Linked DNA regions of Struthio camelus. The protein of the gene in region 2 interacts with the protein of the main gene of each other region in a biochemical or structural test. Links are inferred from orthologs where the notes say so. Each region holds a gene or a part of one and is shown on either strand. Other genes may lie near its edges.

Region 1 (16,375 bases), on a different chromosome or scaffold from region 2:
AAGAGAGCTCAGTTCTGTGGGAGGAAGTAAATAGTGCTATCCAGGCAGTCAGAGGAAGAAAATCTCTGCGACGGCAAAACAGCACACTCGGGGGCTGTTCGTGCTCCACAAAGGTCAGATCAGTTCAGCACATACTCTGGAAACTAGCATTTCTTCCCTCTCCGTTGCAAAGGGCTGAGAAAAAAACACTAGTTTCAGGCAGGTCCTAACAGAACTTCCAATCTGCGCACGGGCTGAATAAACCAGTCTCCACATCTGTTTATATCTGTTTATAGGTCTGCACGCCAACAGGCAAAGTGGTTCAACTTACCAAGAAACTCAAGCGGCTCAAGTCAGGATACACAGATGGTTCTAAATGAATGAAACCGCTTTAAAAAGCTGGCCCGAGAGCTTTCGCAATAGACAGCGGACCCTGACACGGGCCATGGGTCGCAGCAGCAACAAGAGAATTCAGAAGTGCAGTCTCTGCTCCCTAGAAGCCCACCCTTATCTAACCACACCAAACAGGATGCCTGCAGGCCTCCTGATAAGCCCAAACATAGGTTCACCATTGTGATGGCGCAGAGGCAAAAGGACTGAACATCTGAGCTATGACTCCCTCCTCCCCCCACACTCCTGCCACAATCCCCACCTTGGGAATCAGAGCCAACTTGTCCCACTTCTACCAGACAGAAGGGTCCAGTGAAACAAAATGCCCTTGTGCTTATTATCTTAACGCCTGCTTTCATCAATAGAAACACAAGTTGAAGGCAGAGGAGAAATTAACATGGCAGCACCAACAACACAGAGTGCGTGAAGCTTAAAAAAGGGAGAGTAATGTCTAGCACGCTCTGGGACTGAGCTCTAGTCAGCTTCGTGCGAGAAGAAGGGGAAGTGTCAAAGCCGGGTTCTCTGCGGAGATCTTGCTTTTCTGCTGGCCAGTAAAAATCTACCAAAGAAATTTGCAGCCTTTCTCCCCACGATCGTGTCAATACTCTGCCAAAAAATGTCTGTGACCCAGGAACACTGCAGATGGCAGATAGAGCCATGTGTCTTAGCAGAGAGAGGGCTGCGGCGTTCCAGACATTCAGAATAAACTTCGGCCTCTTATTTTTTTTTTTTTTTAATTTAAAATTTTCCTTTGCGATTCCCCATAGCTGGCATTACAGGATTTCATACTTGTCCACCAGGAAGGTGGTCTCAGTAGAAAACCTTACAGGACTGTTCCCATCTACCTGGGTCACTTTGGTAACCTGTGGAGATAACACACACAGTTAGTTCAGCATTTAGCACTGTACTCCCAAATCACACACAGCTAAGCAGAACTTTCCGATTAGCTCTTGAGACAGTCACAAGGATAAAATTAGCCCATCACTTTGAACCACAAGTCGGTACTGCAAGATCGATCTTTGTTCCCAGGAAACCTGAGAACAGGGGAAAGACAACACTTATGTCCAACCTTTACAATAACTGCGTGTCTCCTTAAAGCAGCCTGCAAAGAGTTAAGCACTTGCGAGCTACAGTTCAACGGAGGATAAACAAAGAGCCGTACGCTGAGAAGTCTTTTTGCCTGCAAGGTCGATAGATTCTCTAACATAAGTTTGAGGGCAACTCATTATTTAGAAGAGACACGAAGGCACAACTCAAACTGCGGGCAAGTTCTAGGAAGCTGCAGTTAGCAGAACTGTTCGCTGGCACCAACGAATCCAGCTAAAAACATCATCTTAATACTAATGCCTAAGCCCTCGCTAAGTGGGACAGCGGCGCACTCACCTCGTACCCTATGTCCCACCATGGCAGTTTTCAGCCAAAGAACGACCTGAGGTAGCTTGAAAGAGGTAAGATTCACATTGTGAAGCACTGGGCCTGCAAGGCCGTCTTCTTTAGTGTTGCCTACTCTTTCACTCAGACCAGCTGGGAGGCAGAGGAAGGGGCAATTTCAGATTCACAGAGAATAAGAGCAAAGCAAGAGGAGAGCACAGCACTGTGACAAAGAGCTGTCCTTGAGGAAGAAGACGGCCTATCTCTCTGTCACCTCTCTAGAGAAGACGACAGCACAATAGGGCAGACATCTAAAGAACGTCAGCGGCACAGGTAAGCAGACGCCACAAACGTAGCCAGGCAGGCTAAGGGCAGCTCCCCTCAACGTTATTAGCATGAAACAGCAACAGCATGTTCTGCAAGCACCCCCAGAACTTTCGGCTCTTTCAGAGCAAGTCCTGCACCAGCTGTGACCATACCTGTATGTTGCAATAGTTCTTTTTGGAGACAAAGGAGACTTGCACTGGGAAGAAGTCGTTTGGCTGCCCTGCTATGCTGAATTCCAGGCTGCCGCTCTTGTTTTTGGCATCTATCACTGGCAGGCACCACTCAAGGAGATTTCTCCGGCTATCGTGGCGATACTCGCCATCAATCTCCCCAATCACTGGGGCACCGACACCAGACCTAGAGCAGGCAACAAGGAGCTACAATAGCTTATCTGTCTATAGCTAAGGGTATGTTTGTCAAGGCCACAGGCATGAGCCAGACCTACAAACCAGGAAAGGAAAGGAACTGACAGGATACGGGAAGGCGCTTGTCAGCTTTGCACGTACGCGGAACGCTACTTACGGCAAAGGGATTGTGATGATCACGTCGTTCAGTTCTAGGCTTTCCTCTTGCAATTCATATTCGATGTTAACGTCACAATTGTTCCCACTTTCTGATGGCCAGCAGTTAACTGAGGGCACAAAAACAGTATGCTGACCCATGCAATCTTTGCAAGTGAAAGAGGTGTTCAAAAACTAACGCGCTTCAAAACCACAGCACAGTTATCACCGAGAAATTCTGACTTGAAGAACAAGAAAAAGCTGTTATTTGAGGGCATTACTGAAAACAGGACACTAGTGCGAACAGGTACTATCTAAACGGAAGACAAACACAGGTCTTCCCACCTCTGCACTCTGGTGGTCTCACAACATATCACACTCCAGAGCCAGCTGCACTTCTGCAAGGCAGGGTACAAGTGGGCAACCTGCGGCTGAAGACCAGCTTCTTCTGCCCAAGCTCCCCAGGCCACGTACAAAAGGCCACAGGCACGCTTGAACTCACTTGTCAGCGGAATGAAGGACTCTTCTGTGGTTTGCAACCTCCATTTCAGCACACCCACATCACTGTTAATAGGGAATGATTTCTCTGGGTTCTTCAAACCAATCTGCGATTCTGCAGTGAAGAGCTTCTTGTCCACGTTTGGGTGAGTCTGAAACGGGAACATATGCCCAGACTGTGCCTGCCACTGTGCTAATTTTAAGCCCTGGGACAGAACTGTACGGAGATAACTCAGGTGATGGCCCTACGCGTCCCTGAATATTTTCCCCTAGAAAACGCACCTTTTCATTGTTCCCTGCTCAGAAGCCCTACTGGACCACATCTGCTTATCACGGACCACATCTGCTTATCAACCTAAAATTCTTTCCAGCAAACGTTGATACATTAAGAAAAATCCACGTCACTGGAATTTTTACCTGCAATTTAGCCCAGACACTCTAGCAAGGGGAGTCCAGGGCTGGTAGTTACAGAAAAACTGTAATGACTCTTAAAATCTCAAATAATGTTTTAAAAGCATTCGCTCTTGAAGAAAAAGTGGCCTCCTAAAACGTTTCAACCTCACGCTACCTGGAAGAACACCTTGAAACCACAAGAGCACTACTTCTATCAGCAGCCTTTATGCCTATACTAACCCAAATGATGGCAGCCAAACTCCATTTAAATACGCTCTCATTGCAGCATCAAAGGTGAGCAGCTTTTTAAAAGCAAAGGATTTTTGTTAGTTAACGTTCACGTTACGCTAGAAAGACAGGAGCCAAGACTGGGTTTGATTTAATCTTCCCCCTGAAGCAGCACACGTGGGAGTACTGTTCAGAACTTGTTTATGAGATGAGCTGATAAGCAACCTAATACCTTACCAACAGACCTGCAGCCAGCTAAGTACAGATCAGTTCTTGGCCTGAGGAAGGATGGAGCAACGCAGCATATCAAAGCAAAACAGTCTTCAGAGCTCAGTAAGGTAACAGAAATACAAAGGAAGAAAGGGAAGAACATCTCTCCAAGAATCTTCTGAGGTTATAGTACTAACTGTAACCAAGGGCTCCAGCTCTGGCAATTGCTTTCGATACTTACAGCAATGGCAGAACACAAGTGACCAGTGAGGAAACAGCTTTCTAGATAATAAATTCATTCTTCATTGGCACAGTAACTTCATTTTTAACACTCCTGCTCCACAGCTAAAGCCAACATGATACAACTAGCATCAAGCAACACACCAGACTGCTGCAAAGTCCAAGTGAAATAAGGTGGCTTGCCAATGTGCATCAGCAGACAGATAAGGCTCTGAAGGTATGAAGATAAGCATGAGCCTGGACTTTTCAATTGAACTTTAATCTTTTCAGCATGAGCTGGCCCTATCTTTACGCTGCAGTAGCATCTGCAACAACTACTGGCACTTTCAATGCATTTGCTGAGAGCTGGCCCTATGTTTATGCTGCAGTAGTGTCTGCAATGACCACTGGTATTTCCAATGCATTTGCTGAGAAGGCTTAGACAAGAGCGTAGTACAGTGGCATGCACTGAAGCAGTTCCCACATTTTGCCCTGGAGAGCAGCAAAAGCGTGTTCAGCAGCATGGAACACCAAACAGCCTTTACCTGTAGCTGCACTCCCCTCTTGTCTTCGTTTTCTACATGGAGGCGAATCCGTGCAAACTTTTCATCAGAGATGTGCAGTACGATCATGCCATGCAGCTCCATGTTCTGTAACCCTCCATCACGGCCACAGGTCAAGGAAATTTTTTCTTCTATTTTCATGTGCACACTAGACAGAAAAAAAGCAGTATCTCAAGTCCCACACTTGGCATCTAACAGACAGGATGGGAGATTAGCATTCAGCAAGGACAGGCTGTATACTGAACAGGTGCTCAAAAGACTGCGATAGCCTCAAATGGAATAGCATGGACAGCACAACAGACGCACACAGCAACACTGCTCTGGGAGGTTAACTGGGGGGGGGGGGGGGGGGGGGGGCGCGCAATGATCTGCAGATACAAGTCCGGAATAAACTGAAGTCCAGATAAACAATAATGATATAGCATCTTGCTATGCTGTTCACTGAAAATCCCTTTAATTTTACTCCCATGAGGCAAGCTGCTGTAAAGGTGCTGAATTGCTGCATGAAAAACAAACTATGACTACTTGTATCCTATGGCACAATTAGACAGGAAGTCTTTGTGTCTGGGGAATAGAAAAAATAGCAGCTACATTACCTCATCTGAAGGCAAAACATCAGGAAAGAGAGCAGCGTTCCAAAAAGCAAAGGAAAATCTCCAATCTCAGCTAAGCAATGGATGTACATCCCTTTTTAATTAAAGCAGTGTCTAATCAAATGAGCTATCTGGCTTTTTTTTTTTTCCCCCCCTATGTGCTTTCTAAGATTTTGCCCATGACCTTTTACAATTAACATACCAGATCAGCACACAAGACTAACAGGAGGAAAAAGCCCATTCCGAAAACCAAGGAGGAAGATTTCTGATAGCTCTTTAAGCAACATCGGGATCATACAGATAACTGTAAGAACACTGCTTTCAAAGCAAGGACAATACCTACCTCTCCATGTTAACGGGAGGAGCAAGAACTTTGGCTGCTTCTGCGGAGCGTTTGCCTACAGAAGTCATGATATTTTCTCCTTCCGATTTCAGCTTGTCCACAAAGTTGTCCACCTCCTTCCCTTTAGCTCCAAGTTTCAGAGCTTTACTAGGACCTGAGGGCCTAAAGGACAAAAAGCATAAGCATCTCCAAGTCAGTTTATGGCAAGAGATTCATCCTTCCTCAGCTATCATGCATTATTACAACTGGACTATCCCCGCATTGCCACATTCGCCTTTGCAGCCTTTTTCAGGGCGTACCAAGTATACGACAGATGGTCTCGTACGTAGGACAATAGATTACAAAGTAGATCTGGATTCCGTTCCCAGTACTACCAGTACCTGGTACCCTCATATTCTCAGACACAAAATGAGAAGCGCACTGCCCTTCAAGGATTTTATACTATGAGATGCTCAGATGCTACAGTGACCACGTATCATAAACGCTCTTAAACAACAACAGGCTGGTCTAAAGACCACGTAACACATACTGGTCTGTAAGCACGCACGTTAAAGGCTTAGAGGTCAACAAACACATGCCAGCAAAATTAAGGGGAGTGGCTTGACCGTATCAGCAAGGACGGTAACCCAATGGGAGGGCTACACAAATAAGCCATAATTAGAGAGTTGCACGTTTTTTGCAGGAGCAAGGAAGACAAAGCTCTTGACCTCCAGAACATAGTGCCAACCTGGCCAAACCCCACCAAACTGGCAGACGCCACCAGCGTACAGTCCACAGAGGACTGCTCCCTTATGCACCAAGGCAGGCCAGTTATTTTAGTGCCCCTCTTTATCAAAAATATTAAAGCGACAAGAAAATTAAGCCGCTGGGGAAGGAGAACTGAAACCTTTTATTTGGGCACAGAGTTTTCAGCCAGTGCTAACTCCAAGGACCATTCGCTACCTACTACACACGTACCTGGCAGGCGCTGGTGCCACTTTGGGCTTCTCTGTTTCAATGATGGTCTCCGTGATCATCGCTGCAGTTGTGCCTCCAGACACAGCTGAACTACCAAAGCCACCAAAACCTGGTGCCTTTTTGCCCTGTCTCTCTGCATCCCTCCTGGCCTGCTGCAACTCCTTTGCTTTACGGCGCATCTCAGCTTTTGCCTCGCGTTCCTGAGTCTGAAGGGGAAGATAAAAGGCTGATAGAGCTTTGGGATCTCAGTCTGTGCCACACAGCAAGTAAAACTAGGCTGATTTGCTTGTAAAGCCATTGTGAAGGAAAAGAAAACAAAAGGTAAACATTTAGCTTAGAGAGAAGCAAAGCGACGTTAAGACCCGTATCAAAGCGGAATAACGTTTTTTCATTACAATGCAGCCTTTCCCAGACAGGGAATACCAAACTTGAAATTACTTCAGCTCACCTCTCGGACAGCTCGGAACACTTTTTCTTCGTGTGAGTCCATCTCAGTGAAGGTCCGTATTTGTGCCAAGTTTACGTTCTCACGGTAGCCCAGGGCAACAATTTCATCAAAAGCAAAAATCAGGTCAAAGCAGTGTTCAGAGATCTCATTCTCCTCCAGAGCTCGACAATATTCAGGGATCTAGGGAGGGAAAAACACGTAAAAAGAGTCTTCATAGAAACAGACGCCAATACGTTTTAACGTTTTCTTTCTGTTATGCCCAGACGTCAAATTTGTGCTAGATCCCCCACAAGACCTGCATGCTACTGAGCTCCTTAATGTTCCTCTCTGCTGTTGATAAACAACAGGATGAAGTTTTGCCATACTATTTACGTTATTTTTTCCTAACTCAAAATATTTAGACAACCTCTTAACTTCGCAACATTGTAACTCACAGAAACTTACGCAAACAAACACTGCACAGCTAGAGAACTTCCTGAAGGTCCTCTGGCTGTATATGACAGAAACAGGTTATAAAATTAACATAGAGACATCTGCACAAACATGCTACTTAGAAACGCCTTGAAAGTAGTGTTATACTTGCAGTAATCACATGCTGTAATGTCACGTTATTTTGTTTTTTGGAAGGAGTACAGGTGTTGTCTTAAGAATACAGCAAATATTTCATGCTAAATTTACTGTAGCGCCATCCCTTCAGTCTCACAACTTAAACTACAACCGAAAATTTTCTAAAATTTTCTGTAACTCAAAAATATTACAGAAACTTACAAGATCAAGATCACTACCTACTTCCATGTCAGGAACAGGCTCTAGAAAATGAAAATCTGTAGAGATGGAGGCAGACAGCACTTCAGTAATAACTCACCAGCAGGTTCCCTTATAATAGCATTGTTTCAGGCTACATTTACATGAACTTGGCATACAGGGATCTGAAGTGTAGATCCTTACCACTCTGGAGAAAAGTCGGAGTGTTTCTAGGTCTTCCAGGATGTTGCTGTTTTTGGTGGTGATCAGCACCATGTAGAGCTTCTCCATTGGCTGATATACATACCGCACGCTCTCTGTTTCCACAAAAGTGTGCTGCTTCCCAGTGTTCATGAGTTTCGGGAAAGCTGCCAGCAGCCCCTCGATGCGGGTCCGAGTCATCTCCACGAACTGCCGTGAGACAATGGCCTTCCCCGCCTTTGTGCAGACGGCTGCCGCCAGTAGCACCTGGGGAGAGTCCAAACATCCAGTCAGCTGCACCCTTCAGGGAGCAGGTCTCTGACACCACGAGGTCTCTGCAAGTCCAACACGCAATTACTTGCCCAAAGAGGGGATAGTTTCCAACTAACATTAAACACAGGACTGTTTTGCAACGTGATGTTTCTCCTCAATGCCACATCTACAGTAAAGTCACGTTAACAAAATACGGAAAGCTATATCGATTACAGCACGTGGGTGACCCTCCTGGGCGTTTCATACATGTTACCGTACCAACAATACAAAGGCACGGAGGTAACCGCCCATTTACATTCTCTGATTCTCTCAAGACTACCAAGGCTCCCTTCTGAAGTTCCTCCTCAAGGAAGATAAGCTTTTTAATTTAGTCAACATAAGGCATTTTCGGCAGCTAAAATCTTTTAAATCCCCAACCGTTGTCTATTTACAGCTCTCTAATAACGAAGCATGTACTAGCAGCTATCAAACGCAAGCTGATTTAAAGCCCCACCTGACACTCAGGGTAACAGTGCTCTGCGTATGGCCAGGTGAGACATTTGGATGCTCTGATAAAACTGTCAAACTGTTTCTGGACTGCCCTAGGGGCTCTGTAGCTTGACAACCCAGGGACAAACGGGTCCTGACGCGAACAGGCCAGAAGCAAGCTTCCATTGTGTAACTGCCCCGTAGGAGGTCTCACAAGAGGGCCAACTTGCACCCAGCATTCACACCGTGCTCCTAACAGGCAGGTCTCCTCTTTCACGAGGCAGCCCAGCAGCAGAGAGTACGGCAGTCTCTGCTGAGAGAAACGACGCTACGGATGGGAAACAAGGCACAAGATTTGCTCCAGCAGAGGAAAAGCTCGGAGCTGCACGCTGCCTGAGGACGAGAGGGGCTGACCGGCCGCCTCCGGAGCCTGGCGGTACACGCCGGTGCTAGAAACCACGAGGCCTTGCCAGAACCGGCGGATGTGACAGCCTAAGCGACCTTTAAAATGAAGCTGATCAAGCCTCCCCCGGGCAGCAGCCAGGGTTGGGCGGCCGGGCGCCCCCGTCACCAGCACCGCAGCTCTGTGCGAGTGCCCCCCGCTCCCGGAGCCCGCCCGCGGCCCGCGGCCCCCGCCCGGCCCGGCCCGCTCCCCAGCGGCCCGGCTGCCCCAGGCCGCGCCACCGCCCCCCGCGGCCCGGCCGCTGCCGGGCACCTCCTCCCGCCGCGGCCCGGCCCGGCCCGGCCCGGCCCGGCCTTGCGCGCCCGGCGGCGGCCCCCGCGGCTGGCTCCGCGCGGGGCGGGGCGGGGTGGTGCCCGGCGGCCCTCACCATGGCGGCGGCGGCGGCGGCGGCGCTGGGCTCCCGCTCGCTGCTCCGCACCGCCCGCGTCTCCTCGGGCAGCCCCACAAGATGGCGGCGCCGAGCCACGTCCCCAGCCGGAAGCGGCGCCACGCACGGCGCGGCGGGGCGGGGCCCGAGGAGACTCCGCCCCCCGCCCCCCGCCCCCCGCCCCGCCCTCGGGGCGCGGCGGGTGCCCCTTCCCTGCCGCGCGCCGCTGGCCCTGCAGGGAGCGCCGAGGGCAGGCGCTGCGTGACCATAGAGGCCGGCCGGCCGGGCGCCCGGCGGGCCGCTCTAGCTGCGGCCGGCTAGCGAGGCGAGGCGTCGCGCCAGCCGGTCGCCATGGCGACGGCGCGGCGCGCGGGGGCCATGGCGGAGGCGCGGGCGCTGGAGGTGAGCAGGCGGCGGGGCGGCTGGCGGGGCCGGGCCGGGCCGGGCCGCGCCGCCTCAGCCCGCCCCTCCGCCTAGACCCGCCTCGTCGAGGACCAGCCGTACGACGAGAGCCTGGAGCTGCCCGAGGCCGAGGAGGCGGGCGGCGCGGCGGGGCGGCCGCCCGGGGCCCGCTCGCCGCCGGCCGGGCGCCGCCGGGGCCGCCGCGGGCCGGGGCCGGGCTGGGCGGGCGGCGGAGCCCCGCGGGCGCGGCCCGGCCGCAGCAGCGACGAGGAGGGCGGCGGCAAGGTAGGCGCGGCGGCGGCGGGCGGGCCCGGCCCGGCCCGGCGCGGTGAGGTGAGGTGAGGCCAGGCCCGGTCCTCCCGCCCAGGAGCAGGCGGGACCGCGCCCCGCCGCCGCCCCCAGCGAGGACGAGGACGACGGCGACGAGGATGACGACGACGACGACGAGAGCTCCGAGAGCGACTCGGCCGACGAGGAGGAGGAGGAGGAGCGCGGCGCCCCGCTGGCGGGGTAAGGGCACCGCTATGCTCCCGCCCCCAAACCGCCCCCCCCCCCTTTGCCCACCGACTGCCTTTTGGCAGATCATCTACCCCCTTGGCACGTCCGCCAAGCATAACTGTTCTGTCATCGCCGCTTCTTTAAATAACTCGACAAACTAACTCCCCGTCATTGAGGGGCTTCTTTGGCTGGGATGCCTATGGCAAAAATCAGCTGGGTACTGTTAGCACATGCAGGAACTCTTGTGAACGTTACAAGACGTTTCTTCTGAGAGAGGACTGGCTATTATGAATTCCTTTGTAATTGTGTTGTACAGCTGGATCCAGGTTCTTGTCTTTCTCCCTTTAGTGTGCTTGTACAGAACCTACTGTAATTTACTCTTCATCTGAACGTCCCTTCCTTTCCCTAGTGCCTACAATCCAGCAGACTATGACTATCTGCCAGTATCTACTGAAATTAAAGAACTCTTTGAATATATAAGGAGGTGAGCTGAAGGAGTTTTAGCCTGCGTTTGACTCTCCTTTGTGTTAATGGTAAATTCTGCAGGTAATTTCATAGGCACCTGCACTGCGTGTGCATGTGTGTCTGTGTGTTTGTTTTTCAGGTACACTCCCCAAATAATACAAATTGAGCACAAACTGCAGCCTTTCATTCCCGACTTCATTCCTGCTGTTGGAGACATTGATGCATTCTTAAAGGTACACAGTTTTTCAGGTACCTCTCTATCTCCTGCTGCACGTGCTGAAAGAGTATGTGGCATTGCTGTGATTTTGACAGTCAGGCTGTGCAGCAGAGAGCTACCCTTGCTCTGAGAGGTAGGAAGTAAAGTACTAGAGACCTAGGAAATCACACTCCAACTGATTGCGACTGGTGTGGTCAGCTCCGTGACCTTGCAGAGCAAAGCATACCTCCTTTGAGGTAATGGCTGCACCTTGCTTTGTCCAACGCCTTGTGCATTTCAGGTGCTGCTGTAATGACAACTCATACATTTGCTTTTTCAAAATAGCTGGCCTACCACTTGCTTTTACAGTCTGAAGATTGAGTGACACAGAAGGTCTACACGGAATAGCCCCTGCTTCTCCTCCTCTGGAGTTGCACAGAAAACAGGTTCTCTGTTTATCTGCAGGTTCCACGTCCAGATGGCAAACCTGATAACCTTGGCCTGCTGGTCCTAGATGAGCCATCTACAAAGCAGTCAGATCCCACAGTGCTCTCTCTTTGGTTAAAAGAAAATTCCAAACAGCACAACATCACAGTGAGTTGTGAGGGGAGAGGAGACATTACTGCGCACCACAGAAAAAAAATTACATGTTACTTTTACTCTTGTGACTGCATGAATACAGTGTTGCAGCAAAACTGATAACTTGGCTTTACAAACAGAAGGAAAAAAAAATATCTTTCCCACCTTTAGGCTGAAATGCATCTAAAACTTTGCTTCAGGCAAGTCTTGGTACAGACATTGGATCTATTTGTTTCCTTCAGCTGAAATTTTGTTTCCTTTTGTTTGTCACTACATGGTTTTACTCAGCATTTTGTTTCCCAGCTCCTCTTCTGTCTGCAGAAACCACTTGGCATAGTGCAGCTAGGAAAGAGCAAATGCACAGTTCAATCAGGAGTGAACACAGGGTTTGCAAAAAAAAAAAAAAAAAAAAAAAACTACAATGTGTTTCCAGGTTCATATTTTTGGTTTCAGCAGCAGATAAAAGTGAAGAGTATAGAGAACGCAGAAAAGAACCCCAAAGCCATTGACAGCTGGATCGAAAGTATCAGTGAGCTGCATCGTTGCAAACCCCCTGCCACGGTCCATTACACCAGGTGAGTCATTACACCAGCTCTCCTTTACACTAGCAGCTGCACATACTTGTCTAGTATAAAATTGGGTCAGGGGAAGGCTAGTTGCAGAGCCTAGGAGTGCTGAGTGGAACTATCCAAGTGTCGCTAAGAGGGAGAAGGCATTTCTGGCTTTACAGGGCAGTCATACAACCTGTGTATGCAGGACACTCGCTTCCCCCTCTGTCCTCCTCTTTCCCTGTGTAACTTGAATTAATTCAACAGCTAGGACATCTAACTTGCAACTTCGTGCACACAGTGAGTTTCCACAAAAGCGGGAAAACCTGGATAAATCAGAGGAGGCAAGGCTATTATTACCATGTCCTGATTCATTTCTCAGCTGTTGTGGCACTCCCTTCTGCCCAAACTCATAATTTGGAACTGTCCAACCTCCCTCCAAAGGATATGCTGTTTCCAGCGTCTTCCTTTAGCCGCAGTGCCAAGCACAGATGTTGCACCTTCAAAGCTTAGTCTTGGTTTCTTAAATAAAAATGCCCAAACTGATGCTCCACAGACACGCTACGCTTTCCCACAACTGGACAAGACAGAAGCTGTCCCATTTATACGAGTCTGGCAGTAGGAAACCATTTCCATTGTCTGCATATAATCCTGAAGTAGGCGTTTTTTTTCTCCCCTTGCAGACCAATGCCTGACATTGAAACTCTCATGCAGGAATGGTTACCAGAATTTGAAGAGCTCTTAGGAAAGGTACGTTGTCCAAGTGATGAGTAGTTAGCTCAGTGCGTGATTTTAGTAACCTTCTTGCATGTAATCTAGGTTTCTGTTCCACTTTGACCACTTCGCCTGTAGCCTGCTCGGTTCAGGTTTGTTCCTCACCTACCCCTTCTCCCTTACCAAGAGACAGGGGAGCAGCCTAAAGCCTAAATTCCCAGGAACGGCCCAGGTAGCCTCTGTGCTGGGCCTATCGTTAGCGCCTGTGCTCAGGCTCTAATGTGAACAGAGCTGACAGCCTCCTCTGTTCTAGGTGGGCCTCCCAACTGCAGAGATAAACTGTGGCCTGGCTGAGTACATCGACATGATATGTGGTAAGCAGAGGATAGCCCTTTCTTACCCTCATTTGAAGGCATCTGATTGTCTCTAGCCCAGAAACTGGCAGAAAATAGAAACGTGAAGCTTTAAAAGATACTGTGAGGTACAACATTGTCTCATGCTGGTCTCTAGAGGATGTCTCAGGCAGTTATTAGCTCGGCGCTATTCCTCATTCAGGGGCTTAGGTTCTGTCTACTCTGCTGAGCAGGCCGATCAGACTGATCAGAGAACTCCCCTCCTGTGCCAAGTGTTTAGATGGGAAAAAAAGCAGTCCAGTACTTCTAGGTCCTTCTGCATATTCAGGACAGACCAGCTCCAGTCCTGTGCACCACTGACTGCTGAAGACACAAGTGTGCAGCTAGCCCAGCACTGTGTTACTAAAAGCAAGAGGCTTATGTAGATGCAGTCTCAGCCCTGAAAAGTCAAGACTGTTTTCATCTGCCTTCAGCGGGAAGTGGACTCTTGTGCCAAAGACATGTGTGGTCTTTGATGAGCAAAGGCCCAAGCAACGGGAGGCAGTGAGAAGGTCAACCTGTACTTACAGCACTGTCTGCACAGAAGTACAGCCCAGGTGCTCTCGTGCATTTCTGGTATTTGTTTGTAGCCATTCTGGACATCCCTGTGTACAAGAGTCGGATCCAGCCTCTGCACGTCCTCTTCTCGCTCTACTCGGAATTCAAGAACTCACAGGTAAGCGACTCCAACCAGGCCCCAGTCACCCAGCTGGGAGCATTACAAAACTTCTGTCCTTAAATCTGGCCTTGCTACACTGTGTGCATTTGCAAACTGCTAACAGGCCAACGTGAAAGGGGCCCAAAGAACATTTTCAAAGCTTCTCTTTTTCCTAATATCTCAGAGAAACGATGTTGATCTTGATCTGATTTACCACAGGGCTGGGATGCAGCATTGTTTAACAGTCCAGCATAAGTCCAGAATGTTTTTCCCAGTGAAGTCACAGTGACTGTGCCAAGCACACACAGGCGCTTGGACAGAACTAGGTTGGAAACCTCAGAGGCCAACACAAGGTGCTAGGCAGCTGCTGACCGCACAGGTCATACAGAGGGAAAGGGGCTTGTGTTTTCAGATGCACATATATATTCTAGTTAACGAGAGTTAAATCTTTGCGCTAACGCGTTATTTTCCCTGCAGCATTTCAAATCCCTGGCTGAAGGGAAGAAGGCTGGGAGCCCTCCATCCAACCCACCTTCCCAAGCAGCAGAAGTATTAAGCTTTATGTGAAGCTTCACATTAAACCCTAATCTCCTGGATCAATATCTGCTGCTGGGTATAGAGGTTTGACCAAACTAACGCATAAGGCAAAGCACAGCGTTTCGAAAGACTCCCGTATTTTATGGACGCTGCTAAGCTGCTTGGGATTCATAGCATTTGTTGCAGATGCTGCCTAATCCCTCCATTTTGACTTGTTCCCAAGGAATATAGCATTAAACTAGCTCTTCCAACTGACAGACTCCACATGACACGCTGCAGAGTACAGACTTGTAGAGTGCACCCTACAAGCACTACAGCAGGTGGAAATAAAATCCATGCTCAGACCCCAAACTGATGCAGCTGGTGTGTTCTAAGGTCTTACCATATTCCAGGGATCTCAGGTCTCCTCTGCCCATTGTTGTTGAGTCCCTTTTTCTATTCTCAAGTCACTTTGTTATGAGCAACAGTGTCATTGCTACCTTTCTGCACTTTGTGCCAAAAAGTTTGTGAAAGCAGGAAGAGCTTGGGAGGGGGACAGAACTCTTTGCTTACCTCTGGCTGTGTGCAGGTGGCAGCCGGTGACACAGGACACATTCCCCTTGGGATCCTGGTGGGTCAAAGGTTGATGAGGGCAGCATGTTAAAATCTAGCTCCCACCAGCTGTTTTAATGGAGTTCAGCAGAGAAAGAAACGATGAGAAATAACCAGTGCAGCACTACACAGACACTTGAGTTTAGTTTATTGCTGTTGGGAAGGCTCTTTCCAGCCGCTGGCATGCTGCCTGCCCACACGTCTGTCACAGCTCTGGCAGAGGCGGCGAGGTTCCTAGAGCAAGCAGGTCGCAAACCTGCTAAGCCCCAGGCTGGTGCTTACCCTTGCTCTGGGAGGAATCGAAGCAGTAGCAGCTTGACAAAGTCTGTCTATAAACAGCTTTGTTGCGTTTTGATGATAATGTATTTTTAAAGTGCCTGAGTTAAATAAAAACATGCCTTGGCTAACAGCACAGCTACCGAAAACAATCAAGGGAGCTGCTGCCAGCTCGCTACTCCGATGCATAGCTTAACATATTGCCAAGGGGCTGCTCAGCGCCAGCGACCCAGCGTGACTCCCCTGGCACCCTCAGCCCTGCTTGTTCCGACACTGGTACCCGTTGCCAGGCAGGCCCCCTGAGCTCTGGCAGCTTTCCAGGCATGGGAGAGCTCGCAGGTGGCTTCAGGAGTTGCTCTGTCCAGAAGGATGTTCACGAAGTAAGGCAGACTAGCACCACGGCAGGGCACACAGCTCACAAGTGGACGTTACTAAGGGCAAGAGCTGGGACACGAGAGCAGCCCAGGGTGTGGAGCAGCCTCCCGGAGCAGCAGTGGCGGCTAGGGGGCTGGTTTCTCTCAGGACTTGGCTATGCAATGTCGAGGGGCAGGTCCCAGGTGCTCCCATACTGCTAGTACCTGCTTGTAGCTGCATATGAGCGTCTGAGGCAGGGCAGAGATTCACGTCCCCAAAGTGCCATTCCCAGAGGTGCTACCCTTTACAGAAAGCTGACCTGGCTCCTTTGGTGTTAACGCTGGGGTTATTGGTACATCACCTGCTGCACCTCTTCTTCACCAATACCGGAGCAGCACCAGGGAGCCATCGCAGTATTTCTATCTCTTCTCACGTGACCAAAGCCATGTTTTTCCTACTGCAAGGGCAGCGTGGAACAGGAACACCCTGCATGCAGCTGGGATTTCTGCTACTACCCTGTTCTCAGGTGCTCTTGTCCATCCCAGCCCAAAGGAGGTAGAACAGTCCCTTTCTCCCTGAGATGACACCTCCCCAAAACACTGGGTGCCCAGCCTGTACTTCCCAAGATAG
Region 2 (16,052 bases):
TCTTCACAAGCTCAGAATTTTTATACAGTGTCAAATAATCAGCTGTATAAACATATATCTGGGAACACAAGGGTCAAACAGTAATCTAAACTTAAATCGTCTGTGCTTTATATTTTCATCCTGGCCTAGAAAGGATCACATGTATGAGTAAAGCAAGTCATTCAGTCTCTGCAAATCTTCAGCATTAGTTTGCTTGGCTAAGCATGCCGAGAAGATTGCAGATTGGCAGTAACTATTGTGATAGTTTGAACACTGTGCACTCTACTGTGAACACTGTGCATTGCTCACTACCAAACGATATGAAGTCCACCAGCCATAGGCCTGCAAAATACACTCTTGGTCATTCTTTTTGTTGACCAATATAGATAAGAGATATTATAAGACAGTATATAAGACACCTTATATTACAAAAGGCTTTAGTCTTTCAAAGTATCAAAGCACAGCATACAGTATTCCAGTACACTGAATACCACTGAAACATGTGAAAACATTCCTCATATACCTTGATTGCTGTTGGTGCACTGGAGAGTGTAACTAGTGTTCCTGCAGCTTCATATTTCACTGCGGGACTTGATGACTGCAATAAATTGTAGATGCACCGAATAAACCGAGCTCTCTCCGAAGGATTTGCATGACAGACCTAGGTTAAAAAACACATAGTTGGCCTATAAAGAAAAACTTACGGCCACCACACAGTTTAACTGTTTAACTAACTTACGACTGGGAGAAAATAAAGCAAACAGTGACAAACTTTTCGGGATAAGAAGTGTCATTCACAGTGGCAAAAAGCTATTTACAAGAGCTACTAAAAACCTGTTATTGACAATTCTGAGCAATGCTGCAAGGTCTGAAAACTTCAGTTCAACAGGAAGCGTATATACACCCTCTACTAGCTTGCTGAACAGATGTCCTGCATATATAAACAAAGAACGATAGTTTGATAACATACAGTTCATGACATAGCAAATCAGATGAGATATATTGCTCCGTACTCTGAACATGTGAGCAGTTTGTTAAAAGACAAATTTCATTCAGCTTTATTAGAACAATGACATATCCCAAACATGGACCAAATTCTTTTTTCAGCAGTGTCCTATCCCTTCTAAAGAGCAGTCTAATATAAACTAAAATATACATTCATTCTAAATATGCCGCAGTGTTTTCCTTTTACCTTATAAATTAGTTCAACAATAACCAACTGTAATATGTCACCAAATGTCTGGACTTGGTCAATGCAGGTACTCAAATAATCCAAAGCTCGATCCTATATAAATAAAGATAAATTATTCTAAATTATTCAAACGAGTTTTCTCACTCAGTTGTATTTTAAAGCAATTAAAAAAATATATTTTTTTAAATCAAAATGCAAAACAGCACATGAATTCAACTCCTCAACTTGCAATTTAAAACAACTTACATATAATATGTCAAAATAAAATAGCAGACCTTAAGAGCAAGATAACCCATTTTGTCTACGGATGGGGGAAAAGCAAACGGATGGGGGAAAAGCAAACAAAAAACCAGACACACACAAAAATACAAATCATGAACCTAATGCTAACCAGGCACAAAAGAATTGCCCGTGGAACAAATAATCCCAAACAATAAACATAATTTTCTTTCTCATGTGACTAAAAAATTTACAAAGCAGTAGGTAAAGGAGCACTTCTCAATCTGGTCAGGCTCATTTGGCAAAAATTACTTACAGTTTTCAGCACCAATGTGTTCTTTTTCCAAATACAGCGACTGCACTATTTAAACAAAGACAGTACACTGAAGTCCTACGTTAACTTATTCACAGTTACCACGCATTCCACAAGTGTGCTAACACCACCACATATAGTGGTAGGTATTCCACTGGGTAGAGTATCTTCAACTAAATTTTTAATAGCTTCCATTCCAAGATCTTTTCCAACTTCAAATGTAGGTACTGCTCTGATTCTTACTTCAAATTTCTTTATTTCTTGTTCATAGTTTTAACAGATAATTAAACTGTGTTTATTTTACTCAGTAATATCTTAGTTTACCGACAAGTAAGTTTTCAAATACTTAAATCAAATGAGTTAAAGAACAAGTATCCTTACCTGATCTGCGTGAATTAGCATCATAAACGCATTTCTTTTGCAGCTTGCATCCTTCTCATTCACCAAGAAATCATGGATCAATTCAGGAGCATCAGGTATAAGATGTTCAAAATTTCTTTAAAAAAAGAAATCACAATTAAAAAGACTATTATCAAAGGGCAGAGCCTAAAGCTTAATTGCATATCTTCCAGACAAGTGTTTAAAAAAAAAAAAAAAAAGCATAAAACAAGTCATGAAACATAGCTTTTGCGTAGTTATTTGAAACCGTGAACAGATCCAAGGAGCTTAAATGAAAAAATTGTTTGCTATCGTGACAGCTAAGATGATATCCCACCAGTGATTTTGGTTTAATGGTAGCATTCATACTGTTTAGGTAAGCAACTGCAACAATGCTTCAGGATGTAACTGCAGTAAATTATTACACGAAGAATGTCTCACTTCAAATAAATAAAATATATCCATATTCCTGTAAAGATTCTTCTGTGCTTATAGTTGTGTGGACAACCATTACTATTAATGCTTATATCATTAAGAAAGGTATTTGCCCACACAAATTATCCTGCAGCAGGAGGACCTCAGTCATACTTGAAAAAGCAACAGCAATACCTTTCACTTTTCCAAAGAAGTTTATCAGATAGAGGAGGGAAGAAAACAAAAACAAAACACAACACAACACACACACACCAAACTCCCTCCTTTCTTTCCCCCCCACCGCACCCCCCCCCCCCAATTAACAATGACTTATATTGCTGTCCTTGCTAGGCATTTATGAGATCTCCGAAACTATCTACGTCAGCAAAGTTAGCCTTGGTCTTCTGCCTCTAAAGCTGTAAACAGTTTCTGGCATTTACCTATAAATTGTGTAAATTGCCAGAACTGCATTTCTGCGCACATAGCTGTGACGATGTTCTAAACATGCACGAATGGCTGGCATCAAAGGCTCCAATAATTCTGCTTCCTTCAGCTTACAAAGAAAACGAAGAGTAGAGCCTCGGATAAATTCATTTGGGTGCTGAAGATCCTAAAATAAATAAGAAGCATATCTGAAACGCCAGACTCTACAACCTAGTTAAGTTCAGATGAATGCACTTCCTAGCCTTTTCCCACACCAATTCTTTCCATGGTACAAATCCCAAATATCAACAAGGACATCTCACTGTCTTCTCATGAAATACCTTCTTAAAACACTGCTGTGCCACAATCTTTAAAAAAAAGTATTTCTGTGTAATGAACTTTATAAAATTTGGGGGTGGAGAGCTGGGGGGGGGAGGGGGGGATTGTTGCATTGTGTACATTTTCCTCTGATGACTCAAGCTGTGGAAGCTCACACTGCAGGCATTCCTGCACAATGGACACTAATCTCCAGTGAATATACTGAATTAACATTCACCTGCTTCCCATCAATTCCCACAGAACTTGCGGAACGATATTATCTTTGTGAAGCAGTGTCACAAACAGACTACAGTTAAGGTATTCCAAAAGTAATGTGCTTCTTTTTAGAAAGAAGGCTTGTCCCAAGACACTGTGGAGAGAGTAGTCACCTTTCCTCTTTGAAGTTCACCAACTTGGAAAGTAAAAGTACTAAATCTTTCTTTAGTAATAATAGTAAATGAACACGTAAAAATTCCTTGATAATAACTTTGTTAGTTATCTAAAAGCTATCCAGCTCTGAAACAGCGAGACAAAGCACTTAGGAAGCAAACACTGAGCATATACCATATATGTATATCTATATATACTTAGAAAAGTAATGCAAAATGATATACTTTATACAACGATCCAGCACGTGACCATAAGCAATAAACAGGCTACCTTCCTATATGCATCGCATACAAGGATCATTTCTTGCAAAAGTCTCCCATCTGGAGTGGTCTTTGGAACTATTTCCCAAAAGACCAGAAGCAGTTTTTTGATGGTATGATCTTGAAGAGGCAGTACAAAACGTATAATGGTCATCAGAAGCCCAGGTAGTTTTTCACCATTTAGAATCATAATGATTACTTTCTTCAAAGCTTCCGTCTTCAACTTGACATCTCCTTTTTCTAGAAAGGATAGAAAAATTCAAGAATGCAAATCATAGTAATTATGAAATCAGAAAGTCAGAGTTTTAAAACCTAATAATACTAATTTTTGATGTCAGAAGATACCAACTCCCTCATATGGGGTGCAATATAACATTACCAATAAAATTCATCCCCTTAGTTATCAGGGAATAGTTAAAGAGCAAGCCCAAAATTCAGATCTAATTGCAGATTAACATATTCCAATTAACTGAGTTTAACAAATTTTGCCACTAAACAGCATTTTATACCAGGATACTATGAGGCACTGTGATGTTAGAGACACATTAAAAACTAACACTGGCACTTCTGCAAGCAAGATACAGTAATGCACTGAACAAGCGATAAAGAGATTTATATCACTGCATTACGTAAATCTGAACATACTTCAAACAGAAAGATAGAAACACATTTTGAATTTTTGCACAGAGCGGGGTAGGGGGAGGAAGTCACACAGTATGTAGATAAATACCACGACGTATTTCTCAAAGCACAGTGAAGAGAGGAATTTATACATTTCAGAAGTCAACAAAGTAAACTCCAGCAAGTCAGTTTGATTTTTATACAATATAAACAGTATTCTAGGAAACGTATAATGAGAGAAAGTGAACATAACTCGGGTATGACTGAGTAACCTTCAAATCATAGCTCATTACTTGCCTAGGTCATTTTTTAAGCTGATTTCAGAAGGTGGCTCCGAATCCATTGGAACATTGATTAACGTGTAACACACGTTCTCTGCAGCAGTCATTGTTCTCGGTTACAAATGTTTTCTCAAGGGAAGAATTGCTTTGTCTGACAAATATCAAGACAATCTAAAAACAAGCAAACAAAACCACCCCAAAGTTAACAGATTTTATTAACAAACAGCACAAAGGTGTTTTTGCAACTTTATGATTTCAACAAATTGTTGGGTTTCTCGAAAAATCACATTCAAAAGCCTTCTCAATGTTTTATTACACTAAATGTTCCTGTTAACCTAAAATGATGTAAGAATATGAAATTTCCCAAAGTAACTGGCCAAAAAAAGTAAATCAAAAGAAATCTTTCCGATACTTAGGGTACAGTTAGAGAGGACTGAAGCATATGGACACCTGATTGCCACTGAATGGATGCAGCAGCTTTTCCCTCTTCTACTCACCCCTCTGGTCCTGGCTATCCGTTCCCACTGTTTTCCTTGCACGTCTGTGGCCCGCCAGGGCACCAGAGCGCAAGGGCTCAACCTTTGACTCAACCTGCAAAAAAAACCTGAAGAACACCACAACCAAAAAAGGGAAGAGTTTCCTTCTTATATAACAAGTTGAATCAGCCCATGAAGGAAGCTTTGAAGATGAGCGTGAAATCCAACAGAGCAGAAACCAAGGACGGGAGAAGGGAGGACATGACGGAGAGGAAAGTAGGACCACCGTGTTATCTGCTAAAAATCATTAGAACAGCTCAACTCAGCGCAACTGATCCTCTAGTCACCAATAGGAGGAAAGTATTTGCATGAAGAAGAAGTACTAGAGGATTACAGGTCCACTAAAGGTGCTGTGTGGCGGACAGTTCAGATAACAAAATGAACCATTAACTTAAATCTTCATTTTCTTTGCTTGTCACTTCCTTTTACAATAGAATTTTGGGATTACTTTTTTTTTTTTAATTCCATTTCCTAAATAATGGAAAACACTCCAGTTTGAGCTTGCTCACTTACTACTCACTACAGTACCATACGGAAATGCAGAGTAAAAAAAATTATTAGTTTTCATTACTTGGTGAATTCTGTATTTTCTACAGAAGTTCAGAGAAGAAACTACTTTGTACGCACATTCTACATTTACTATAGTTAATTGTCTTGAAGTTTAGACTGAGGCTAACAAATCATTAAAACAGGGAAAATGGCTTTTTACTTTAAAGTATGATACTATGTATACGTATAAAAATACACACTTGCTTTATGTAATTATTGCTATTAATTAATAACAGGGCCAAGTGAACTAAACTATCTCTGTCACAGGCTGAGATTTGCATGACAGATCAAAACACTAAACTCTCCAATTTAGGGTTACACTTTCACTGCAGTTTGCTTTCAACACTTAAAAGAATCCTCTGAAGTTGGATAAGCCTGAGCAGGGTTATAGCTCCATGACACCATGCCTTCAATAACATGCCAGTTTAAGAAGTTACTGCCTGGGATATTAGTTCCTACCCCACATCACCTCTTCACCTGTGCTGAGGCAACTCTTGAGATGTGAACCCTGTAAATCCACCACCCTTACTTTACTTTTAAAATAGTAAGAACAAGGGAGAACAAAAACCCTACATCCATTCCCAGTCTGCTTCTCCAAAAAAAGAAGAGGCAAAGTGGGCCAAGGAGTTGCAGTGTCTGAACGAATGGCTGAGTAACTCCACAAGCTGATACTGCAACCAAAGTCCCTTTTCTTATCAAATGGTCAGCTGAAGAATCTCAGCCTAAACAGTGAGTAGGGAAGCTGTGCTAACTTGGGCTGTAGCCTTTTTTTTTTTGCCTCAGAGGCTCACAGGTTTGAGTAAAAAGCACCACTGCTCCCAAGCTACAAGAAAAGAACACAATTAGAACAGTATCACAAATTCTGCTACTACAAAAAAAGGGTTCTAACACAACATTTTTTAAAAAGCCTCTTTCTGTTATGCTTTTAAGGATTAGATCCTCCAAGCTCATTGTTTCCTCTACAAATGGCTACATAAATCAATTCTAGCATTTTTCAGAAACAAGAAAATTCTTGCTTCACCAGCAGCTCTTTCCCTCTATCCCATTCCCTTGGCCAGAGCTCTTGCCCCAAAGCTCTGCAACTAGCATCTTCATTTCTATCAACTTCATCAAGCAGATAATAAAATACAGTTGTGAAAAAAGCAGGTAGAAAGAGTCCAACTGCAGAAACTCCTTCAAAATCACGGCAAAACAGATCTCTAAACGAGGAAAACACAGACCCATTTCTTAGGCTCTAAAAAGCAGCAGTGAAGGGAAATTCTTAAAATACAGAGCTGGGAGACTGGGCAGCAGGAACAACCAGTTCTTCCTCACAGAGAAGCATCAAGCCTTGGAACCAGCATCTTCCCATTCAAAATTTGATCTTACCAAGAATACCCCAGATAAGGAGAAAGCAGATGCTACTCTACTTTCCCAGCAATAAAACTGGAAAACACCCACACTTGTATATGGAAATCCAGAGTAACACAGTTTCCAACGCACGTACAAGGAGGCAAAGAGAACATGCCTACTCTCCAGCTACAACGTCCTTAAGAAGCAAATGAATCCCCACAGAAGTTAAACATCAGTTACGGTGCTGGCAGAATTACAACGACAGAGTTTTATTTTAAGCTTTGGCTATTAATATCTCCGGAATCTAAATTTTTGTATTCAGCTATTTTCACTCAGCTTTGTAGAACAGAGCTAAAGACCTCTGAATTACAGAACACTGACACAAGACGTTAAGGAGATACCTTATCGAGCAAAACCCTAACAATGCATCATTTCACCTCTGCATCACCTGGGAAACACAACACACAAACTTGTATTAAAGTAACCCGGAGTAAGTTTAGAGGATCATAGCCACATCACAAGGGATTCTCTCCTCGCTTTTCCAAGCGACTAATTCTTGCCCGAAACACCTCGCACAATTAACTATGACTTAAAAGTTAAAACGTTTGGTTTTTATTCTTTTCCTTACCGTTCCCCTGAAAAAACTTCCGAGACACGCCAGCAACCCCCCCCTTCCCCGGGGAGGCCGCACCCCCCCCAGCACACACACGGCCGAGGAAGCCCCGAGCCGCGGGACAGGGGCTCGCTGCTCCCTTTCAGCGCCGCTAACGGCACTGCCGGCTGCGGCCCTCAGGCCGCCTGCCCAGGAAGGCCCCGGCCGGCCGCGAGCCGAGGGGTCCCGCGGAGTAGGGGGAAGGGCCGCGGCCCCGCAACGGCCCTAACGGCCGCCCGCCCCCCCCCCAACGGCCGCCCCGCGGCTCGCGACCCCCGCCCCGGCGAGGCCGCCGGGCCCGAGGCGCCGTGGGGCGGGCTCCGCGCGCCATAAGCGCTGTCCCGCGCGGGCTGCGCACCCAGCTGGTGTGGTGCGTGGCGTGGCGTGGCGGCGCGGTCCGGCGCGGCCCGCGGCGGCGGCGGCAGCGGCTCCCGGCAGTGGCGCGACCCGCTCCGGCGATGGCTGACGTGGAGCCGCTCCCTCCTCGGGCCACATCGATGGTACGGCGGCCCCAGCGGGACACACCTCCCCTCGCACAAGAACGCGGACGGGGCGGGGCGGGGCGGTGCTGCGTCACGGCTCGGGGGAGGGCCTTGCCCCTCTGACGTCACCGCTTGCTCGCTAGGAAGCGCGGGCGGAAGGCCGGGGGGAGGGGAGCGAGGAGCGCGCGGCCGGCCGGGGCCCGCTCGCCATTGCGTCAGCGCCGTGACGTCATATGCACCATAGGGTGACGCTGCAGAGCTAAGCACGTCCACTGCGACAGCCTGGGCAGGTGGCACGGTGGCAGGCAGCACGGGGGCAGGCGAAGGCCAGGCCGGGCTCCTTCAGCCTGCCCCGCTTCTACATCAATACATGCATCGGACGTTTACAATGGAAAAACAACGCCAAATTCACTTTGTTTATCACACTGTAGCTTCAAATGTCTTTTGCATCTCTACCTGAAACACGGGCTTCCCTCGGAGACATCGCTAAAGAAATCTCTTTTCAGTAAGACTGCTGCCACTGCTATAAATGGGAAATTACTCTTCTCACTTCAACTGCTATTAGTGTAATAAAACCCAATTAAAGTGTCTAACGTTCGCATGATGTGCGTGCATGACACTTGGAAGAAAAATCTTCATTGAAGCTGATCACTAATAGCAATGGAGTACAGAAAATGCAATATGTGCATATTGCATTGCAAATGCAATCAAATTTTGTGACATTGAACTTAAATCCAAGCTGTCACTAAACAGAGTCCTTGGGTAGACTCTATAGCACAAACCAAAGTGACAAAACCAAGAAGGAATACAGAGACTAGATAAGTCAGGGGACCTGAAAGGGCAATTTAATATGTTTCCATCATTACTTACATGTAGCGCATGCATTAGTGAGCTAAAAAAGCCCTTGGCTACCTGATGGCTGTTTGATGGCCCTAAAGAAATGAAGTCATTCATTTCAGTTTTGAAAGACCTGAGGTTTATTAAAAAACACAACTGAAAAAGCTTACTGGCAGCTTCATGCTTATTCTGTCTGCAATAATTCCAGTAAACACTCATAATTAGAAATGTCTGTCCAAGTCACGAGTGAGACAACCACAATAAAACAGGCGGAAGCTTGATGCATCCTACATGTTCTAGGACTACTTTGTAAATAGAGGGATTCAAAGTCCTGTCAGTGCAATACTTCATGAGCACTATATTTATATAAAGCAACCGAGGGCTCACAAATCAGTTACTGTTTCAATGTGACAAATAGTACATGATTGCATCTTGATAGCACATTGATTGTATGAAAGTAGTATTTGAGTAGCTATTTCTTCAGATTTAAAAAAAAATGAACAGTACATTCCAAGAAAGATTTATTTCCACTTGTCCTTACAAGTTAAAGACAGTATGCTTTTCATTAAAAAAACAGTATTGTGCACTATTTAGAAAATGGTAACACCTTTCTTGTCAAAGAAAATATGTCCAACTATCCTACCATTTAAGGATAGATGGGCTAGTTTGTTTGTTTGTTTTTATAGCGTAATCCTCAGAATGTGTCAGTAGAAGACGCATATAGGTCAGGAGAAAGGTTACCAGCAGATGGATATATGTTCCTGTATAATTATACATAGGTAAACACACAGCAGAATTCATCCATCAACTAGTGCTCCATGGGCTCCTCTGCCTTTTCCGCAGGTTCATCAGCGGGCGGAGCAGGCTTAAAGAGAAGAAAAAAAAAAACATATTATAGAAGGGAAGAAAACAGTACCTAGCATATCCGCTTTACACTAGATTGAGTATCACAAGTGGTAAAAGTAGCTCACATAAACAAATAGCTTACAAGCAGTATTATATAAATCAAGCATGGAGAAGGATAGAGCTGGTAATTAGAAGACTTGAGGAGGCATCTTGGGACAGACACCAGGAACATATGTAGCCACTTCTGCTACAAGAAAGTGAAAAAAAGTAATCTTAAATAAGGAAAGAAGATGAAGACATTGGAAAAGCCTTCTGCCAATTTATCGTAAACTGATTTAATAAGCAGCTTAGCCTCCAGCTTCAGTCTTTAGACAAAGATGATATGTTGCCTCCTGTTTTCATGTAGCAATGTCAAATTTTAAAACTGCATACCTAAAACCCTACTACACTAAGAAAGCTAAATGTCCTAAACATAATAGGTCATACATCACAAAATGTTGCCTTTCACCAAAGCCTCTTTATTTGTATATAAAACACAAACCTTTCTCTGTGGTCTCTCCTCAAGACCTTCTAGGAATGGTGCTACGTCATCATCATCATAGATGGTAAACTCCATGTCTTTGCCCACAATTCCAATGGAAACATTCTGTTAAGGAAAATTTTGAAAGAAGTAAGACACGTTTTTCTGCAAATAACTTGAATCTGTTTCACAAGTGAAAACTGTAAAGCCATTAAGTTTCCTCCTGTGATAAAGGGATTCACTTTGCTATTGTGTCTACTTAAGGAAGAGAGGAATTCCGAGATTCCCTTTTTGGTAGGTTGTACTAGAAAAGGAAAGGGAGGCAGAGAGGGAGATTTATTCCCTACAAAAGCTATCATGCTTTGAGATCTTACCAGTAAAATCACTATTCAATGATTTCAATTTCTATTTTTTATTTTAAATAACAAATACCTGATTTTTCAAAATCACTGATTCTCATCTTTTTTTTCCCCCCTCCCTTTTCCTTATCGTAAAAGTTCTAACAAAACAAGATGGGCTAAGAGTAAAAATCTTAAACACAGATAAGGGCAGATCAGCCACAAACATAACACTAACTTTTGGTAAGAGATCTGCTTAGAAGTTTCTTGTTCAAGAGCTGGTCAGTTCATATTTCCTGGCAGAGGCTTTGCATCTTTTTGGTATTGGATGCTCAATCAACTGTTTGCATAGCTGTGCTCTGACTGAAGGGGCAACTCCCCCCTTCCTTTCCAGTCCTTTCCAATTGCTGATTGGGCTTACAAAGCAAAGTGATGATCCAGTTGTGTTCAATGCATCTTAAACACTGATCAAACCTTAAAATAGAATATTTTACGCAAGCAGCCAGGAAAATGATGCCTTACTTAGACAAAAGTATCATTTTATTATGGTAAGCAAACAAACAAAAAAAAATTACAGATGAAGCTGTAGGTAAAGTTGTCACATATGAAATGGAGATGACGCTCTCCACCACTATTTGGCTTCCAAATTTCAGTGCCAGTCATACTTTACATTAATTTTGTCATAGCAATTTCTAATAACAATGGCAGTAAAATTTCTTCTTAAACACACAAAAACAAACAAAAACAAAACAAAAACATCCTAGTATTTACCTTGGTGGTCAGATCTTGTTCAGCAGGAAGAGTCTCTCTCAGGGCACGCAGTCCATGCTTAACTAGCTCATTTAGATTACCTACAAATTAAACGCAATTAGAAAGACATTTACGAAATAATACAGTTGAGTCTCTTGAGACTCTTTTGCCCTTCCTCCTATTCCCAGTTGACAACTAGAAAAATCAACCTGGCTATTTTGACTTCCAGAACTGCGCTCCTTATGTATTTCCGGTACTGAATATAGAGTTGGTTATCAAAGTATACTTCAAGAAGTGAGCCTTTCCTTACACTTCAGGCCAAATGCATCCATTTTTGGCACCTGCATTGTCTTCAGTGCAGTGATACTCAAGCTATTTTTTCCCCAACCAGACACACAGTAGCCTCCAAATAACTTTCATATAAAAACAAATTTGCGATTTTAAATCCACAACCTAGAGACTCATCCTGAAATATTATGCCTTCTCTGTAATACAAAGAATTGCTCTTTCCCTGAGTTACACAGGATGGAGACTTTGTACTTTTTTCTCAGCCTCTGAACAGAAACTTCTTTTTCATTAGATCTAACAAAAATCCAGATGTTAGAAATGAAGATTTGTAATGTATTCTTTACAATTATTGTCTTCATGCAGATTTACACTTACACTAAACTTGGCTCCCAAAGTTTATCTTCCCATTTTACTAAACACAAAAGGATGGAGCAATAGCACGAAAAAAAACTGTGCAACTGATGAAGACCATCAGATAGACAGAGTTTCATTACTCACAGTCAGTAAACTCAGTCATGTGCCTCTCCAAGTAAGTTCGAGCTGACTGTGAACGAGCACCAATGGACATTGCTTTACAGTCAAAATAGTTTGCAGAAGGACAGGTCTGGAAGATGTGAGGACCCATATCCTACCAAAAGGGAAAACAAACAAACAAGTAAACAAACAAAAACAATACATGTTTTTTTTTCTAAAACAAAGATTTGCTTCATGATACATCACATAGCTTATGTCTAAGCACAGATATATTTTATATTGTTTATCATACCATTGCTCTTACCAATTGCTTCAAGTCTTATTCTAAATAAATAAATAAATAAACAAACAAACAACAATCCTCCTTCATACTTTGTTATTTGAAACATAATTTTTATGCAGGTAGGATAGCAGGCACCAAAAATCTTTCTTTCTCTGTTCCATAAGCTGTACCATGCATACATATGCTTCCCACCTCATGGCTTGCAGTTAAATATTTCACACACGTTCTGTCTGATCTGTGCAAGTGTAAAAACCTGCTGTAGATTTAAGCATGTCATGCCAGATTTCAAGCAAGCTGCCCATTTCCTTCAACCTTCTTCATGCGAAATATCTTCAGCGCAGTGATTCTCTTTGTGTACCATAGTAAGTAAACTATTCTTGAAAAACAAGTAAGAGTGTGTCCAGTGAGGCTTTCCACATCCATTTAGAGTATTTAAAAACAATAGTTTGTTAAAGATCCATAACCACTAGTAAAATAATTACCGCTATCAAAGACTCACTTCAGCTTATAAACATTAACATTTTGATCCCTGAAAAAATGAACAAGTCTACTGTTTGCAGTTTTGCACAGAAACACAAAGTGACATTAAAACACAAAGATCATTGCAACTTCATTTCAGAAGATCCATTTTTTCATAGTGTTTCAGTGTAGGAATCCCTCCCTTCAAACACTTCTGAAATTCATGTCCTGCTACAGCATCTCATTTTGCACCTTAAAATAATTATATTTTCATTTTTGCAAATGCATGCCTTACAAGTGTAAGTAGGATTAGCCACCAATTACCATTTATAAAAGTTATAAAACTTATAAAAGTTATGTTTTAGGGTAAGATGCAGAAAATGATTCCTTAATCAGAATTTTGACAAGTTTGCCTCTTCCTTCTATCTGTCCCTCTTAACATTTACTTGTATAAAAGTGAATTAACCACTTTTTTTTTTTTTTTTTTCTTTCTCCATCAACAGTAACTGGCACGCTATACTTACATCATAACCTGCGATGAGCAGACCAACACCATATGGTCTTCTGCCATAACGCTGCGTTGGTATCTGGGTTTCTTAAGCAAGCTAAGGAAGCATTCTCAAGAAAACATGTTAATTACCTAAAACGTTTTCCTAAGCCAAGCAGAGATGCACCAAAGTTGTAATACAGCTTTTCCCCCCCACTAACAGGAATTTCTTTGAAGAAATAGATCACAGGGCTTATTTGGAATACCAACACTAGCTCTTTTTCACCAAAAAATATTTAGCAACTAACTTTCCCAAAAGAAGTGAGTGGTGCACTCAACCAAGTAACACAAACAGTTCACTTAACGCTGCGCAGCCTCATTTAATTTCTTTTCCCTTTGAACGTTTTGTGGGCACTTGATATCAGAATACAAGGGCACCATTGTGTTCCATGCAGAGACAACTAAAGCCGCCACAGAAAAAAATCTGAGTAAATCTGAGTAGCTGCGCTGCAATCCAGTAAGTGATGATATCTTGAATCGTGTAGTTATCTTCCCCCCCCCCCGCCCCGCTCCGCTCCAAAGGCAGTGCTATGTAACAGAAAAAGCAGCACCATGTTAAATGTTGCATAGCACTTTGTTGCTTTTCTACCAATTCAGCGTGTTACAAGGTATACTTTAAAAGGACAAGCAAGCAGTATGAATAAAGAGAAACTAACTTTCATGCTAAATTTATAAAGTTAATTAATTTTAAGTTGTGATATATAAAAAACATTTTAAGAACAAGTATGAAGAAGTGTAAAAAAAAACTGTAAAAGTTTAACAAGTGCAAAACAAACAAACAAACAAAAGGATACTGCTTCCAATTAGTGACACTAAGCGAGAGACTGGAAGAGGTCTGTCAAACACAAATCTGGAATCCAGGCACTCCTGACGCATGAAATTGCTGAGTGAGGGGGTCACAGAAATGGGGGGTGGGGGGAAAGAGGGGGAAAAAAAAAATCAAACCAATGCATAGTGAAAGTCGCAATGAGATTTTGTCTCAATATTTGTCTGTTAAAATATATTTTTCAGCTCTGCTTGTTAAGAAAAAGGGTCAAAGGCACTACATGATTTCATTTCATCATGACCTATAATTGTTATTTAGAAGACTAACCACAGGCTTGAAAGATTATTGTATTATTTCAGCAATACAAATGAAGGGAAGGTAGAAGTTCATGCAGGCTATAGAAGGGTCATCTGGAAAAAAAAAAAGTCACATGTAGATGGCAACATTTCTTTCATTTCTTTGTAACAGCGATTTTTTTTTTCAGATTCTTCCTACACCTTCTCTGTCCTTCCCTCTAAAGCTGAGGAACTCTCCTCCTAGGAGACATTTACCTCATCTCCTGAGACTCTGTATCCAGCAGACAAAAGGTAAACTCCTCTGAAGCTTATGTATACAGCAGTATGTTTTTAGTAACTTTCTTAAACGTATACAGAAGGATCTACAAGAGGGAAAAACGTGACACCCTTTCTCAGGCTGCTTGGAAATCCCATCGCACTGGGGAAACCAGACAGAGGACTCTCTTACTAGTATCAAAAACAAAGAGCAAAATTTTGGGCCAAACAAATTAGATTTCTGCCAATGACTTAAAAAAAAAAAAAAAAAAGAATTTCTTGCTGAGGTCTTTGGCATAATACAAGAGAGCAGTAACTCAAGACTAATCCTTAGCTGATCATAAAAATCTCATTTGCAATAGTCTACAAATGAACTTTCACTTCATTATTATTGCAGAACTCTATATGTCAACCACTAAGACACTCACCACAGGAGTCTTGCATCAGCAGTAAGTCCAGCAATTGAGATACCAATATGGTTGTCAACATACAGGATTTTTTTCTGATGAGCTGCCAGCTCAGACTGTGCTCTCTATGCATGAAAAGAAAAAGCTATGTGGCAGACTGAACAGACTGCCAGTCACTGTTAAGAAATCCACTAGCATTTATGGCAAGAACTGAATATGATCATGAAACAATAATAATAAAGCTATAAACTTGTAACAGAAAACAAGAAAAATCTAATCCTACTTCAATAGGAGACTGTCAGAAAGAAAGAAAGAAGGGACACTCACTCAACTTTTGTGACAGAAAAGAAGTAGTTTTACTACTTAATAACTGAAGAAAAGAATAGAAGACCAATTAGCTTTTGAGTTAAAAACCTTTCACCAATTTCCTTCACTCCACCAATCTGTGAAGACCTGTTTAGCACAAGTATTGAAAATACGTATAGTTCTACACTGGTATTCAAGCATAAGGAAAATGGGATTACAAAGTACATTATACACAGCATAAAAGTTCAGACCGGACAAAACTAATTTCCCAAGCTAAAACTACTCTGCTAACATTGCTGTCCCCAGAACACAGTTTTAAAGTTACCTTTAGAGCAACCAGA

What was found.
Region 1: the proteins of COPB1 (region 2) and ARCN1 form a complex in vitro, tested with the Homo sapiens proteins (2 studies listed by BioGRID). The link is inferred for Struthio camelus from reciprocal best matches to the Homo sapiens genes COPB1 and ARCN1.

Annotation. Positions count from the first base shown.
Region 1 is NC_090963.1:340,457-356,831, forward strand, and holds the start of ARCN1 (coatomer subunit delta), read right to left. Parts: upstream 9,666-16,375; 5' UTR 9,539-9,665; coding exon 9,536-9,538; intron 8,232-9,535; coding exon 7,968-8,231; intron 7,200-7,967; coding exon 7,020-7,199; intron 6,778-7,019; coding exon 6,572-6,777; intron 5,777-6,571; coding exon 5,615-5,776; intron 4,827-5,614; coding exon 4,661-4,826; intron 3,218-4,660; coding exon 3,070-3,217; intron 2,699-3,069; coding exon 2,590-2,698; intron 2,425-2,589; coding exon 2,220-2,424; intron 1,233-2,219; coding exon 1,143-1,232; 3' UTR 1-1,142. Other genes in the region: IFT46 (intraflagellar transport protein 46 homolog), read left to right, coding at 9,887-9,937, 10,013-10,222, 10,305-10,447, 10,845-10,919, 11,040-11,133, 11,562-11,690, 12,129-12,250, 12,907-12,973 and 3 more. UniProt on the Homo sapiens protein: Component of the coatomer, a cytosolic protein complex that binds to dilysine motifs and reversibly associates with Golgi non-clathrin-coated vesicles, which further mediate biosynthetic protein transport from the ER, via the Golgi up to the trans Golgi network.
Region 2 is NC_090946.1:22,175,663-22,191,714, reverse strand, and holds the start of COPB1 (coatomer subunit beta), read right to left. Parts: upstream 8,480-16,052; 5' UTR 8,216-8,479; intron 8,107-8,215; exon of another isoform or gene 7,834-8,106; intron 5,411-7,833; exon of another isoform or gene 5,286-5,410; intron 4,960-5,285; 5' UTR 4,896-4,959; coding exon 4,805-4,895; intron 4,127-4,804; coding exon 3,897-4,126; intron 3,106-3,896; coding exon 2,936-3,105; intron 2,200-2,935; coding exon 2,085-2,199; intron 1,265-2,084; coding exon 1,172-1,264; intron 641-1,171; coding exon 503-640; intron 1-502. Other genes in the region: PSMA1 (proteasome subunit alpha type-1), read right to left, coding at 9,985-10,041, 10,564-10,668, 11,652-11,731, 12,417-12,546, 13,659-13,729, 14,476-14,564, 15,427-15,530, 16,037-16,052. UniProt on the Homo sapiens protein: The coatomer is a cytosolic protein complex that binds to dilysine motifs and reversibly associates with Golgi non-clathrin-coated vesicles, which further mediate biosynthetic protein transport from the ER, via the Golgi up to the trans Golgi network.